Linked DNA regions of Kluyveromyces lactis. The protein of the gene in region 1 purifies or fractionates together with the protein of each later gene. This does not show direct contact. Links are inferred from orthologs where the notes say so. Each region holds a gene or a part of one and is shown in the gene's direction. Other genes may lie near its edges.

What was found.
Region 2: the proteins of RPS15 (region 1) and RIO1 purify together in Saccharomyces cerevisiae (affinity purification with mass spectrometry; 3 studies listed by BioGRID). This does not show direct contact. The link is inferred for Kluyveromyces lactis from reciprocal best matches to the Saccharomyces cerevisiae genes RPS15 and RIO1.
Region 3: the proteins of RPS15 (region 1) and CRM1 purify together in Saccharomyces cerevisiae (affinity purification with mass spectrometry; 3 studies listed by BioGRID). This does not show direct contact. The link is inferred for Kluyveromyces lactis from reciprocal best matches to the Saccharomyces cerevisiae genes RPS15 and CRM1.

The regions. Positions count from the first base shown.
Region 1 is NC_006042.1:738,197-742,110, reverse strand, and holds RPS15 (40S ribosomal protein uS19), read left to right. Parts: upstream 1-2,021; coding exon 2,022-2,450; downstream 2,451-3,914. Other genes in the region: KLLA0_F07887g (uncharacterized protein), read right to left, coding at 1-146; RPP2A (ribosomal protein P2 alpha), read right to left, coding at 694-1,014; Rpd3L histone deacetylase complex subunit DEP1, read right to left, coding at 3,237-3,914. UniProt on the Saccharomyces cerevisiae protein: Component of the ribosome, a large ribonucleoprotein complex responsible for the synthesis of proteins in the cell.
Region 2 is NC_006041.1:1,884,094-1,889,199, forward strand, and holds RIO1 (protein kinase RIO1), read left to right. Parts: upstream 1-2,358; coding exon 2,359-3,939; downstream 3,940-5,106. Other genes in the region: ARG8 (acetylornithine transaminase), read right to left, coding at 1-630; KEI1 (Kei1p), read right to left, coding at 1,245-1,883, 1,999-2,034; RTC5 (Rtc5p), read right to left, coding at 3,992-5,106. UniProt on the Saccharomyces cerevisiae protein: Required for the final endonucleolytic cleavage at site D converting 20S pre-rRNA into the mature 18S rRNA. Required for the final steps of cytoplasmic maturation of the 40S ribosomal subunit.
Region 3 is NC_006041.1:1,428,531-1,434,376, reverse strand, and holds CRM1 (exportin CRM1), read left to right. Parts: upstream 1-2,385; coding exon 2,386-5,646; downstream 5,647-5,846. Other genes in the region: calcium channel protein CCH1, read left to right, coding at 1-1,810. UniProt on the Saccharomyces cerevisiae protein: Receptor for the leucine-rich nuclear export signal (NES).

The DNA.
Region 1 (3,914 bases):
CTTGGCCTTTGGATCCATTTCTGTAAGTTGCCTCCCTGTCTGTCACTAGAGCTGCCTGTGTGTCTGTACAATTGCACGTGAACATGCGATATCATCAACAAAGCGCCACATATTTTCATGGAAAAGAAATGAGCTCCAGAAGACATAGTAGAGCCACAGTTGAATAGAAATTTGTCATCTCGGCAAGAGGCGGAATAACTAGAAAAAATAAATAAATAAACATCACGTGATTGATGTCACGTGATTGTTATATTTACAACTCAATTGTATATTGTCAGCCATTACAGACAGTAGGACAGCGCCGATTATATTTTGAGTAAAATCACTGAGTAGTAATGTTTTTATTATTATCAGATATAGATCCTGTATACTGGTTTGATGTAGTTGTACATGAATAGTAAGCATTGATAATGGGCAATGGATAGTACATAGGTATCCTTACAAAAAAATGCAAAGAATTCCCACCTTTTGATTTATTCTGTTCCCGTTGAATGCAAATGCTGAGCGTGTGTGAGGAACGGTTTGTATGAGGTTTGAAACGTTAAACGTAGAATAATAAAAGAATAGATAGAAAAATTAGAACAACCATAACATCCATTATGTGAAAGTTATTGCTGGTTTAGCCTTGCAAAAATTTCAGGATATCAAAAGTTCTTGTTCATTATTGTGTAAGTCCCTTTAAAATTGATTTGTTTAATCGAATAGACCGAAACCCATGTCGTCATCAGATTCTTCCTTTTCGGATTCTGGAGCTTCTTCAGCAGCAGCTTCGGAAGCACCGGAAGCAGCAGCACCAGAGGCAGCAGCACCAGAAGAAGCTGGGACAGAGGCCAACTTTTCGGTACCTTCAGCGATAAGTTCTTCAACAGACTTACCTTCCAAAGCGGACAACAAAGAAGAAACCTTTTCTTCTTCAACTTCGATTCCAACGGATTCTAAAACAGCCTTGACATTGTCAGAGGATGGGGTGTTGCCAGCGGCGTTTAATAACAAGTAAGCGGCCAAGTACTTCATCTTTAAGCGTTCAATATTTGTCGAGGTTTCTGGGGAGAATTACGTGAACTATACCAAGAATTAAACAGTATTATGCCTTTAACAATTAAAATATAAAGGCACTTAAACCTTAAACGTGTATTGTAAACCTCTAATCAATTGACAAAAATGTTGAAGATTCGTCAAGGTAGAGAGAATTACCGGGCGCCATTGGAAAGCGTTGAAGCTTTCCACTGTGAGAGTACTAACTCTCGCACTGATTCCATCGAATTGCAGATTGGGAACCAGATTCCTCGATTTTCCAGTGCTAAAGAAAATCAGTGGAATTGGTCGCCTAGATGTTTTCCTTTTTCGGACGAAAAACTTAAAAGATATGGATGGTAAGAAAACAACAAAGTGCGGTGTACATATAGTAATAGGATTTAAACGCATTTTTATATGTGGTGTATTGTGGTAACAGTCCCTTATTTTCATTTTGAGTCTCACCACTTACTAATTTTTTCGCACCGAACTTACAATCTGTAGGCAGACTCGCCAATTTCCTCCTACGCTCCGGTTCCACTCCCTCCCTGTTCTCCACCCTGTTGGGTACACGGAGTGCAAGCTTACTGGCCTGCCTACCGGTAGCAAAGCTTCCTGCCTAACCTTACCGTCTCCCCCGTCCAACCCATGCTTCCAGCTGGGAATAGGGCCCATCTTCTCCTCCGCTATTGTCTCTGCGAACAGCTTGGTTCCCTAGTATGGGTCCTACCATTGAATGATTTTTTTGGTGAACTTTTCAGAATCATTGCGAAGTTTGAGGATATCGACCTTTTTCACCAATACGAACAATCTCAGTTTGAATTTAATGCTTTTTTTGATAGTTACAGCTTTTGTTGATTTCACATAGAGATTTTAGTTGATATTGCAATTCATTTCACGTATTCTTTTTATAATAGAAGGTTTCAATAGAGCTTGGTTTAATTTTCCTTTTCCTTTTTGTTGTTTAGCTTAACTCACCGAACCATACAATAAGAAAGCAAGCCAACATGTCTGAAGCCGCTGCTCCAAGAAAGAGATCCTTCAAGACCTACTCTTACAAGGGTGTTGACCTAGAAAAGTTGTTGGAAATGCCAACTGAAGACTTCGTTAAGTTGGCCCCAGCCAGAGTTAGAAGAAAGTTCGCTCGTGGTTTGTCTGAAAAGCCAGCTGGTTTGATGAAGAAGTTGAGAGCTGCTAAATTGTCTGCTCCAGAAAATGAAAAGCCAGCTGTTGTCAGAACTCACTTGAGAAACATGATCATCGTTCCAGAAATGATTGGTTCTGTTGTTGGTGTTTACAACGGTAAGGTCTTCAACCAAGTCGAAATCAGACCTGAAATGGTCGGTCACTACTTGGGTGAATTCTCTATCACCTACACTCCAGTTAGACATGGTAGAGCTGGTGCCACCACCTCTCGTTTCATCCCATTGAGATAAACTACTTTATTGATAAGAACTATTGCAAGAACTCCAAGAAAAAATTTCCCCTTGACAAAATACGCTTCTCTGTTTTTTTTTTGAAGTTCGGACACTTAAGAAGTTTTGGGCATTGATATAGTATCCAGATTCCCTCGTATTATCATGTGGTACCGAATTTTAAATCTGCGATTATATCAATGATATACGCAGAATTATTCCAGAAAACTTAAAAATTGATCCAGTTGTCATCCTCAAATGCCCTTTTAATTTGGACATCAAATCATGATATCGATCCCTTTGTTTCTTATAGAAAAATATCATCGGGTTGGATACGGTTTATTATAAGTTTTATTTCTATCCTGGTGTCTTAATAAAATAAAGATATTTCGCTTCACATTGGAATCTGACCAATTCATCACAACCTTTCCTCACTTCACAAGGACTACTATTTTTGGGGTTTCTTTCTCATCTTTTTATTATTTACGCTTTTATCTCTACCAACGTCCAACAAATGTTTAATTAGTAGGAAGTATATCTTCTATTCCATATATAACATACATCTTTGTATATTTTAAAATATCAAGGTTTCTCGAATTCACAGATGTCAATTCGAATACACTTTCATATCGTGGAAATGTTAAAAGTGCTATACATATACACAGTCATGCATATATTATACTTGTAAAGATTACACATCATAACAAAACGATAATTAAATGATGATTCATCAAGATGACATTTTATTGACTATTGATAAGAGCGTGTTTTCTGGTTTTTGGAGCACCTAGTGAAAAATTATATGACCTATTGTTGATGCTGTATTCCTGCAAGATCCTCATGAATTTCAGAATCTTTTAAACCACCAAGTTCAGGAGCACCTGGGAATCCTCCATAGAATTTCCTTATACCATCTAAGTCGCTCAATTCATTATTAAACCTCATTCTGTCTACAATGACTTCTAACTTATCGACAGGGTTGTTATGATATCTGAAATTGATATTTTCACATAATAAATCTTCTGATAACAAGTCGCCTGGACGTCTCAGATTGGCAGGAGCTGCGTATCCGGTTATACAACTCAAAGATTTATTTGAAATTTTTATTGGAACGTGATAATTTACTTCAGGTACAACAACGTCCATTTCACGTCTCTCTTTATTGATGTCATACCACTTCTGGGTTGTGTTTCCTAATAACTTATGTTTCAAATCTGAGACCTTTCTGTAGAAATCTTGATGAATAAACGTTCTTGTCGCCCTAGTTTCGGTATCTATGCACTCCAGCTCATACTTTTGCCTTTGGTACATTCTCTTTAGCTTAAAGTCCCGTATCGAAGCAATCTTCTGATAATAAGTCTGTAGTTGAGGATGTGATCCATCTAGACACATCTGTAGCTCATTCTGTAATTTGCTCAGCTTGTTTTCATATAGACTCTGTCGCAATTGAGCAAATTCGACTTCAATATTTGTTAGTTCTGCCAA
Region 2 (5,106 bases), on another chromosome or scaffold:
AATCAACCCAGCAGTCTTTTCTTTCAAGCTAGAAACTTGTTGATCCAATTTGGTCAGCTCATCGTTAATATTTAAAAATTCCACTCCGGGAATCAAAGAACCAAATGGTTCACGATATTTTGGATTACTGGTAACAGACAAAGCACCCATGGTACGACCATGAAAAGAGTTTTGGAACGCAATTATACCTTGCTTCGATGGGCTTTTTAGGATACCGTATCTCTTGGCGAATTTCAATGCAGCTTCGTTGGCTTCGGTACCGGAATTACATAGAAAAACTCTGGATGCATCGTATTGACCACCAAACGATTTAGTAGCTTCCACTAGATTTTCACTCAACTTCAGACATTCCTCATTATAGTACAAGTTAGAAGAATGGATCAGTTTCTTACTTTGTTTGTACATGATCTCAGCCACTTCCGGATTGGCATGTCCCAAAGCAGTTACTGCGATACCAGCAGTGAAATCAATATATTCTTTATTGTTAACATCATCATAAAGAATGGCGTTCTTACCTCTAGTCAGAACCAAATGATTAGGTCTGGCATAAGTGGTTGCCTGGTATTTTTGTTTATCGACTAAAGATTGCAACAATCTTTTAGAAGTGTGTAATTGACGGATAACTCTCATTATTGGGTTAAAGTATGGAAGGAAGCCTTTTCGACCGGTTCAATTTGATTATCTAATGTAGCGTACAGGATGCAGGATACTAAGCAGATTCCAAAGTCTAGTAACTAACACTGCAGTGCCCTTTATTATCTATTCAGATCAACTTACCGTTAAGTGATATGGTTAGCGATGAGATTTTTGAAGAAACTTCCTAAATGGAAATACTTCACATTGCAGTATATATAAAGAAAAAAACAGCTAACGGCATAGATGCACATAATGAGTGAGAAAGAACAATACAATAGAGTCCTGAAGATATGAATCAGAGGTGAAAACCAGGAACAATGAGCGATGCAAGCTTCATTGTATAAAGAGGTACCCTGTCAAGAGTGATCACGCATTGTGTGTCATATCCAGTGCCAATTGATGGTCTTGTGTTCGCTTTTTTTTATGAGTCACTCTTACTGATCTCTCAATAGGATGGTGCATCTTATCAAAAAATTGCTCTCTGATTAGGAATTAATTCCGTGTTCGAACCCCACTTGGACCACTTTTTGAAAAGACAATGATGCAATGTTAGCTATATGATAATATTAGTCCGTATCTATATAATGATGTGTTTAAAGGGTACCGGGCTATAAGTATCTCTTGCATAGGTAGAAACACCATTTTTCGAATTTGTATCTCCATTTAAACAAAATGTTTCTGTTGTGTAGATTGACTTCTATATCGTTCTGATCGAATGTGAACTTCCCACTGCGCAATAGTTGTTGTTGGAATGCAATTATGATGAAATTGAAATAGAATCTGACTGCTAGTGGAACTAAAGTTAGCAATATGATGAGGAAAAATTCATAGCCGCTAGAAGCACTCTTAGAAGTATCTACTTTAGTTGAGATCGTGGATGTGGTTCCCTCATGAGCTGGTCCAAGTGCGGTTCCCGCGCTCTTCAAGTCCGTAACGTCAGTGGAGCCCTCCTGGCTGAACCACACAGCAGTGAACCATAAGCAGTAAATGCAACTAACAATTGTGTCCACACTGAACACAAAAGTAACCGTGGACATTAAGAGGATATTGGGCTTATAAACTTGTCTTATTCCTGAAATGAATACCACTAGACAGAAAATTGACCAGATGTAAAAAGTCCATTGCACAAAGTCTAACGGGTGTCCAGTGAAAAGTGCAAGAACACCATACATCCCGCTGAATTTGTTGAAGGTTAGCACACCAAGTGCAACCTCAACACCTATGTACAAGGGATAAGACAGGAATGTCTAAAGGGCAATGTCATCTGTTAGTACATATTACTGGTATCAAAAAAAAACCATGCATCAAACGATCATGTAAAAACGTCTTTCAACTGCGGTTAAATACCCAAAAGAAACATACTTGTGGCAAATGAACCATATTTGATTGCTGCTGCATAGGAGTATAATAAGGACAAACCCTGACGTTAAAGCAAGTTGGTTTCTTCCACTTACACAGGTAGACCTTTCAATTCATCTACTGAGCGTTTTAGAATGTTTACAACTATTTCCTCTATTGAAAAGCAATTCGCGATCCTGTCTAGAGCATCGTGAAAAAAAAACGTAGGAAAAAAAAAAGTACGCTACTTTACTTTAATGGTGTACAAGATGAGCGATGAGGTTGGAATAGTGGTTATTTACAGAACAATATACGCCGTTCAGCTCCTGTGTATTGTCAAATTAGTAAATCAGAAAGCAGAAGTTATCTATAGTTGGACTACGAATGATGAATATTGACGATAAGCTGGAAAAACTGAATTTAGCCAACCGTGATGAGCATGTCAACACTCAGATCCTAGAGAGGTATGCCAATAGCATCAAAACAGATGAGTTATCATTAACTAGGGGTAAAACCAGCAAAGATAAGGCGAATAGGGCCACTGTAGAGAATGTTTTAGACCCACGTACGATGAGGTTTTTGAAATCCATGATGAACAGGGGAATATTATCAGCATTTAATGGTTGTTTGAGTACAGGTAAAGAAGCAAACGTGTACCATGCGTTTGCTGGTAATCATGAGGAGAGACATCTGCTGGTAGAGGGACATGATGATACAATAGGAGCCCCACAAAATATTGAATCAACAAAACAAAAAGCTCTAACTGCCGAATCTGAGGATGCCACATCCACTTCAACTGCCACTGATGAACCAAAAAATAAGAAGGAATACGCGGTGAAGATTTACAAGACATCTATCTTGGTTTTTAAGGATCGTGAAAGATACGTTGATGGTGAATTTAGATTCAGAAATTCGAGATCTCAACATAATCCTCGTAAGATGATCAAAATTTGGGCTGAAAAGGAATTTAGAAACTTGAAGAGAATATACCAAAGCGGTGTCATACCTTGTCCAAAACCAATAGAAGTTAGATCAAACGTTTTAGTCATGGAATTTTTAAATAGAGGAGATGGTTTCGCATCTCCGAGGCTTAAAGATCATCCTTACAAAGATAGAGAAGAAATTAAACATTACTACAATTTAATGATAGCGTACATGAGACTGTTATATCAGGTATGTCGCTTAGTTCATGCAGACTTGAGTGAGTATAATAGTATTGTACATGAGGATAAGCTTTATATTATTGATGTTTCGCAATCCGTACAACCAGAACATCCTATGTCTCTAGATTTCCTAAGAATGGATATTAAGAATGTTAACTCATATTTCCAAAAATTGGGAATTGACATTTTCCCTGAACGGGTGATCTTCCAGTTCATCATCAGTGAGGTCTTAGACAAATTCAAGGGTGATTACAGATCAAGCGATGATCTAGAAACATATGTTGCCGACAATTTACCTCTAAAGTTGACTGATGAAGACGAAGCTGAAGATGAAGTGTTCAGATCTTTACATTTGATAAGAAATTTGGGTGGTTTAGAGGAAAGAGATTTTGATAGATTCACTGATGGTAAATTTGACCTACTGAAATCATTAATTGCTAATGAAAACAGGAAATATTCCGAAAATTTCACAGCATCGGAGCAATATGAACTCTCTTCTTCTGATGACGAGGAAGATGACGTAGATGGTGATGATCTCCCTAACCTCGTAACGGATATCAATGAAGATGACATAGCTGGATCAGATGAAGATGATGATAGTGATGAAACTAACGATAGTTCTGATGGTGATGGATGGGTCTCCGATAAAGACACTCCACTGAAAGGAAAAAAGTACGAAGATAAAGATGCTAAAAAACAACGTAAGCAAGAAACAAAAGAGGCCAAACGTGAAAAGAGGAAGACCAAAGTAAAAAAACACGTTAAGAAAAAGCTCATTAACAAGACGAAAAGCAAGAAATGATCAATTTAAAAATTCTATGCAATTTCAAATATTTAATATTTACTTAGCGATTTTAAATAGATCCACCGCTTTGATGTTGCCCTACAAGACCTGCCATTTCCAATAATGCACGATCTTCTCCCATGCTTTGTAAGTTGATCTTTTGCCTTCTTTTGGCTTCGGCCTCTTCCCATTGCCATTGCTTTACTTGCTCTTCGAGCTCTTTTTCTCCTCCGCATCCCCACACTTCTACATCTTGGATTATGAATCGGTATTCGAACGAATTCCGTTCTTCTCCACGTCCACTTATTAGACGGCCAGGCTTAAAACTCCCACCTGCTCCCAAATGTCTAAATATACCGAACTCGAGAGATGAATCAATAGTAAGTGAAACATTTCCTGGGAAGTATTTTTTACCGTTAGCTTTGATGATAGGTTGAGAGCTACCAATACCTATACCTCCCCCAACAGTGTTGAAATATACGTTTCCTGTCTTGAATGGGTCCGCATCGAAGATCTCTTGTCTTGGATGAAGTTGGATAATTTTTGTAGACGAATCACCAAACAAATCTTTATTTGATACTTTCCATGGGTCGCGAATACAAACAGCAAATAACAATTTTCGTTTTTTCTTACTTAACGTATCCAAATGTTGATCTTCACTTTTTAACTTACCATATTCTTGCAGAAAGTTTCTATACCTTGGATTTTTCACGGCATAAGCATCGCCATCTTCATCGTCCTCGTCACGAATTCTCATACCCTCTACGAATAATATCGTAGGTGCCATCCACTTGAAGACCTTAGATTGGAAAGATCTCATAGAAAAGCCCGATTCCCTTCCAACATATAATTTCTGGAACCTGGAGAAAACAATCTCCTTCGGTAAAAAAGTTGCTAACTGCGATAGCTCAGATTCATTTACAATTTTAGTAGGATTTGAGATTGGTTGAAGAACGTCCGCGTCTACGAGATCTCTATCCATATAAAGAACATGTTCCATTAGCATTTTCAAGGGATTTAAAAGATTAGGGGCAACATCATTAACGGCCATGGAAAATTGGGTATATGTGATTGATGAATCCAAACAGTCTGACATTGATATAATCTCGGGGTTCATTGTGCGTACAATATTAAGAGCTTGATGTTTGAAGTCCTCTAAGCTCTTCGCCAAAACATCATTGTCAA
Region 3 (5,846 bases), on another chromosome or scaffold:
GTTATTTGCATCGCCATATAGTGGAATCTTCTTGATTTTATTCAATTTCCTCAGCATGGTTTTCATCTTGAATATCTTTGTTTCATTTATTGTAGGAAACAATGCAAGAATGAAAGGTACGGCATATTTAACTCTGGCAGAGAAATCATGGCTCGAAGTAAAGAGATTGCTGTCACAAGTGTGCCCTGATCCGATGCCAAACGTTTTCAAGATGAATGCAGTCAGGAGAATTTGTTACTTGTGGGCAGTGGAGAAGCGAAATTTCTACTTCTCAGTCTTGATGCAGTTCATGTTGTATTTGCATATTTTAACACTTTTAATGTCCAAGGATCAACCTTATGGGAAACTGCCAACGAATCAAAATATTCAATTTATGGTTACCACATCATTTTTACTCATTCAAGAAGTCATGCATATATACGGGAAATCAATGCGGCTATATGCAAGAAAACGTTGGAATATATTTCGTTGTGTCGTTGTGATGTTTGCATTTGCAACTAATATATATGAACTCATTGTCGATCATGTCGTGGTGGGTATTTCCAATGCGCGTGATGTTTTCCAGTTGGGAATCTTCCTTTTAGTGATTCCTCAGAATGATACTTTGAATGAATTAATGAACACAGCTACTGCGAGTTTACCATCTATTTTCTCATTGGTTTATACATGGTTCATTTTGTTCCTTGTGTATGCTATTGCCTTAAATCAAGTATTTGGAGTAACAAAATTAGGTCCTAATACCACGGGGAACATTAATTGTAGAACGGTGACGAAATCTTTGATTTTATTGTTTAGATGCAGTTTCGGTGAAGGTTGGAACTATATCATGAATGATTTGACAATAGAAGAACCATTTTGTTACTCTGAAGCTGATGGAAGCTATACTGATTGTGGTTCAAAAGCTTTCGCGTATGCTTTACTAATGTCCTGGAATATAATTTCCATGTACATTTTCGTTAATATGTTCGTTTCCTTAATCGTAGAAAAGTTCAGCTACGTCTATCATAGAGAGGAAAATAAGCACTCACCAGCAAGCCAAGAAGAAGTGAGGAAATTCAAAGTGGCATGGAGGGAAATTGATCCTGATGGTGTAGGGCAATTTGATGTCGCGTACTTACCAAAATTCATGCACTCGTTTGATGGACCCCTCTCGTTTAAAATTTGGGAGGGAAGACTTACTGTTAAGAGTTTGGTGTCTAAATACATGAAAGTAAACCCAAACGATCCATATGATGTTGAAATTGATCACTTCGGACTCAGCAAAGAACTTTCCTCTATAGACTATCAAAAAGTGAACGCCAGACGACTAGATTATAACAGATTTGTCCATGAAATTCAGCTGGGAAATAAGAGATACAACGCCGTGCAGTTCAATCAGCTGATGGAAACAGTTCCATTGTACACTACATATAACAAGACTGAATGTCTTGGGATCGATGATTATGTGAAAAATTTATACGACATGAACAAAGTTGATAAACTGATCCGGAACGAGAGAAACTACGATACCATGCTAATGGTTGTCGCAAGATGGAAATTTTTACTGAACCGTAGAGGCAAGATACAACTACCTAAAATAATGGTGCCAATATCCTCTTATCCAAACGGATCCACTGAAGATTTCGAGCTTGAGTTTAAGTCACCTGTTTTAAATACCCAGGAATCAGAGTTTATGTGGTCGCCAGGCCGTCGCAACAATCACTGGTTTGAAGAAGATGAAAGTAGCTCAAAAGAAAATACATCTCGAACTCTGATCAAAGACACATCTACCAAACCAGGAACAACCGACTCATCCTCATCATCATCTTAGATCAATGAGTACCTAATCTTAATTTATGTTCCATCATTTGTTACATATATAGACTTGTATACCCACAGAAGAGTACCTTTTTTGATTAACTAAAGGAAAAGATTTCAGATCACGTGTATGTTTGGGCGCCACGCCTAAAGCCATCACAAGGCACGAATTTAGTTACCCTACCATTATTGATTTTTCGAAAGAAGCAGTTTTACTAAAGCCAAAACCTTCAATTGATAGGGTTTGGGGTCTAAAGTAAACAGAATGTTAACATGTATTTGTTAGATAAATTTTAGATCTGGCAGCGTGCTATCGAGTCACTTTTGTTCGTACTAGATTCAACCGTTACTGTTCAGTGCTAAATAAGAAAACTATAGTCCGGTGTATTTTTTTTTCTTTCTTTATTATTTATTTCGGAAATTGCAGCTGTGAATTCGAATCTTGGTGGAATTTATACAGCAGACTAAAGGAACAAGACATTGCATTTAATTAATCAGGGTCTTTTCATAAGAAGGATACTACTGCACTGTACTCATAGGAAAATAGTAAAAAGAGATCCACACACACGTTCTTCTTTCTAAATCAATATGGAGGCTGTTTTAGACTTTTCTCGGGACTTAGACATCCAGCTCCTAGATCAAGTGGTGGATACCTTTTTCAAGGGCTCTGGTGCGTCTCAAAAGGAGGCACAAGAGGTTCTTACTAAATTGAAGGACCATCCAGATGCTTGGCAAAGGGCTGATAAAATCTTGCAGTATTCAAATAATCCGCAAACGAAGTTCATTGGGCTTTCCATTTTGGATAAGTTAATTACGACGAAATGGAAGATGTTACCTCAGGAGCATAGACTTGGAATTCGTAATTTCATCGTTGGAATGATTATTTCAATGTGTCAAGATGATCAGGTTTTCCAAACTCAGAAGAATTTGATTCATAAGTCTGATTTAACCTTGGTTCAAATTCTTAAGCAGGACTGGCCAGAAAACTGGCCAGACTTCATCCCGGAGTTGGTTCTCAGTTCCCAAGCTAGTGTAAACGTATGTGAAAACAACATGGTAATGCTAAAGTTATTAAGTGAGGAAGTCTTTGATTTCTCTGCAGAGCAAATGACGCAAGCTAAAGCACTACATTTAAAACAATCTATGGATCAACAATTTGAACAGATTTTCAATCTATGTTACGAAATTTTGGAAACCGCATCTTCTCCATCCCTTATGGTGGCCACTTTGCAATCTCTTTTGAGATACTTGCATTGGATCCCATACCGTTACATCTACAACACTGATATTTTGCAATTGTTGAGTACGAAATTTTTAGTCTCTGCTGACACCAGAGCTATTACTTTGAAATGTTTGACTGAAGTTTCTCAACTTGATATTCCAGCAAATGACCCAAAGATTGCTTCGTTAACTGTAATGTTTTTCCAAAATGCTTTGCAACAAATTGCTGTTAACGTTATACCGGTGAATGCTGACTTGAAGAACACATATGCTACTGCTAATGGCAACGATCAATCATTTTTGCAAGATTTTGCCATGTTCTTGACTACCTATTTGGCCAGACACCGTTCAATATTAGAAGATGATGAATCCTTGAGGGAACTATTAATTACTGCGCATCAATATTTGATTGAACTTTCGAAGATTGACGAAAGAGAATTGTTCAAAACGACTTTGGACTACTGGAATAATTTGGTTTCGGCCTTGTACCAAGAGGTGCAACAAATCCCTCAAAATCAGAATAACGTCCTATTGAAACTATCTCAAGGATCGAATATGTTCTCAGGGAGCAATGGTGCTCCTCACCCGGAATTCTTGAAAAGGTTCCCGTTAAAGAAACACATTTACGATAACATCTGTTCTCAGTTAAGATGGGTTATAATAGAATCGATGGTTAGACCAGAGGAAGTTCTTATTGTGGAAAACGATGAAGGTGAAATCGTCAGAGAGTTTGTTAAGGAGTCGGACACAATTCAGTTATATAAGTCCGAAAGGGAAGTACTTGTTTACTTGACGCATTTAGATGTTCTTGATACTGAAGACATCATGTTGAATAAATTGGCAAAGCAACTTGATGGCTCTGAATGGTCATGGCACAACATCAACACATTGTGTTGGGCTATTGGTTCTATTTCTGGTACTATGGACGAGGAAACTGAGAAAAAATTTGTCGTTACAATCATTAAAGATCTTTTAGCCTTGACTGATAAAAAGCGCGGTAAGGACAACAAGGCTGTTGTTGCATCGAACATTATGTACGTTGTCGGTCAGTACCCACGTTTCTTAAAAGCTCATTGGAAGTTCTTGAAGACAGTCATTCTAAAACTATTTGAATTTATGCATGAAACCCATGAGGGTGTTCAAGATATGGCCTGTGACACCTTCATCAAGATTGTACAGAGATGTAAACGTCACTTTGTCGTTCAACAGCCAAACGAAAGTGAACCTTTCATCCAGGCAATAATTAGAAACATTCAAGACCACACCTCCGATCTTCAACCTCAGCAAGTACACACATTTTACAAGGCTTGCGGTTTAATTATTTCTGATGAAAGAAACCCAGGAGAAAAACAAAGATTACTAGCAGATTTGATGCAACTCCCTAACATGGCATGGGACGCTATAATTCAGCAATCATCTACTCATCTGGATATTTTGTCGGACCCTGAAACTGTGAAAATCGTTACCAATATTCTAAAGACAAACGTTGCCGTTTGTTCCGCTATGGGTAATGACTTTGCTCCGCAGTTGAGTCGTAACTTCACACCAATGATGTCATTGTGCTCAGCTGTGTCTAGATGTATTTCAACACAAGTAGCCAGCGATGGGATTATTGCTACTAAGACTCCAAAGGTAAGAGGTTTAAGAACAATCAAGAAAGAAATTCTAAAATTAATGGAATTATACATTTCCAGTGCAAAGGATTTAGACTACATCGTAAATGACTTGGCATCAGCACTGTTTGACTCTGTGTTACGGGATTACTACATTACCGTACCAGATGCCCGTGACGCTGAGATTTTAAGTTGTATGACCACACTTGTCAACAAAGTTGGGCCTATGATGATCAGCGGTGTCATTTTGATTTTACAGAGTGTCTTTGAAGCTACATTAGACATGATCAATAAAGATTTCACGGAATATCCGGAACATCGTGTGGAGTTTTATAAATTATTGAGGGCCATCAACTCCAAGTGTTTCGTAGCGATATCTCAACTACCACCACCGGCTTTCAAACTTTTCGTTGATGCCATATGTTGGGCGTTCAAACACAACAACAGAGATGTTGAGGTAAATGGGTTACAAATTGCTTTAGACCTTATTCAAAACGTTGATTCCGCTAGTCCGTCTGAATTCTCTAACGATTTCTACAAGAACTATTACTTCACATTCCTTAGCGAAACCTTCTATGTCCTCACTGATTCAGATCACAAATCTGGATTCAGCAAGCAAGCTCATCTTTTAATGAATTTGATTGCCAGAGTAGAAGAAAATAGAATAGCTGTACCATTATACAAGGAAGATGAAGCTCCTGCAGTCACTTCTAATCAAGCTTACTTGGCTAACTATCTAGCAACCATGTTAAGCAATGCATTCCCTCATTTGAGTGGTGAACAGGTTATGAACTTCATTCAAGCGCTACTCAAACAATATCATGATCCAAAGCATTTCACTGGTACTATTAGAGATTTCTTGGTCCAGATCAAGGAGTTCGGTGGAGATCCAACCGATTATTTGTTCGCAGAGGACAAAGAACAAGCTCTCGCGGAACAACATAAACTTGAAAGAGAAAGAGCTTCCAAGATCGGTGGGTTATTGAAACCATCGGAATTGGATGATGATGAGTAAAGATAACACCTTACAGAAATGTACAGCATGGTCAAGAAACGAAAAAGTTTCTGCGGATCCAATGAAAGCTGAAACTAACACTTGTCAAGCAAGGCAAATATATACATAGCAGGCCGTATATCTTCCCACATAGAGAAAAAAATTGTAATCAATTCTCTCCGACATATACCCAGGATCCAGTATCAACGTATGAAAGCCAT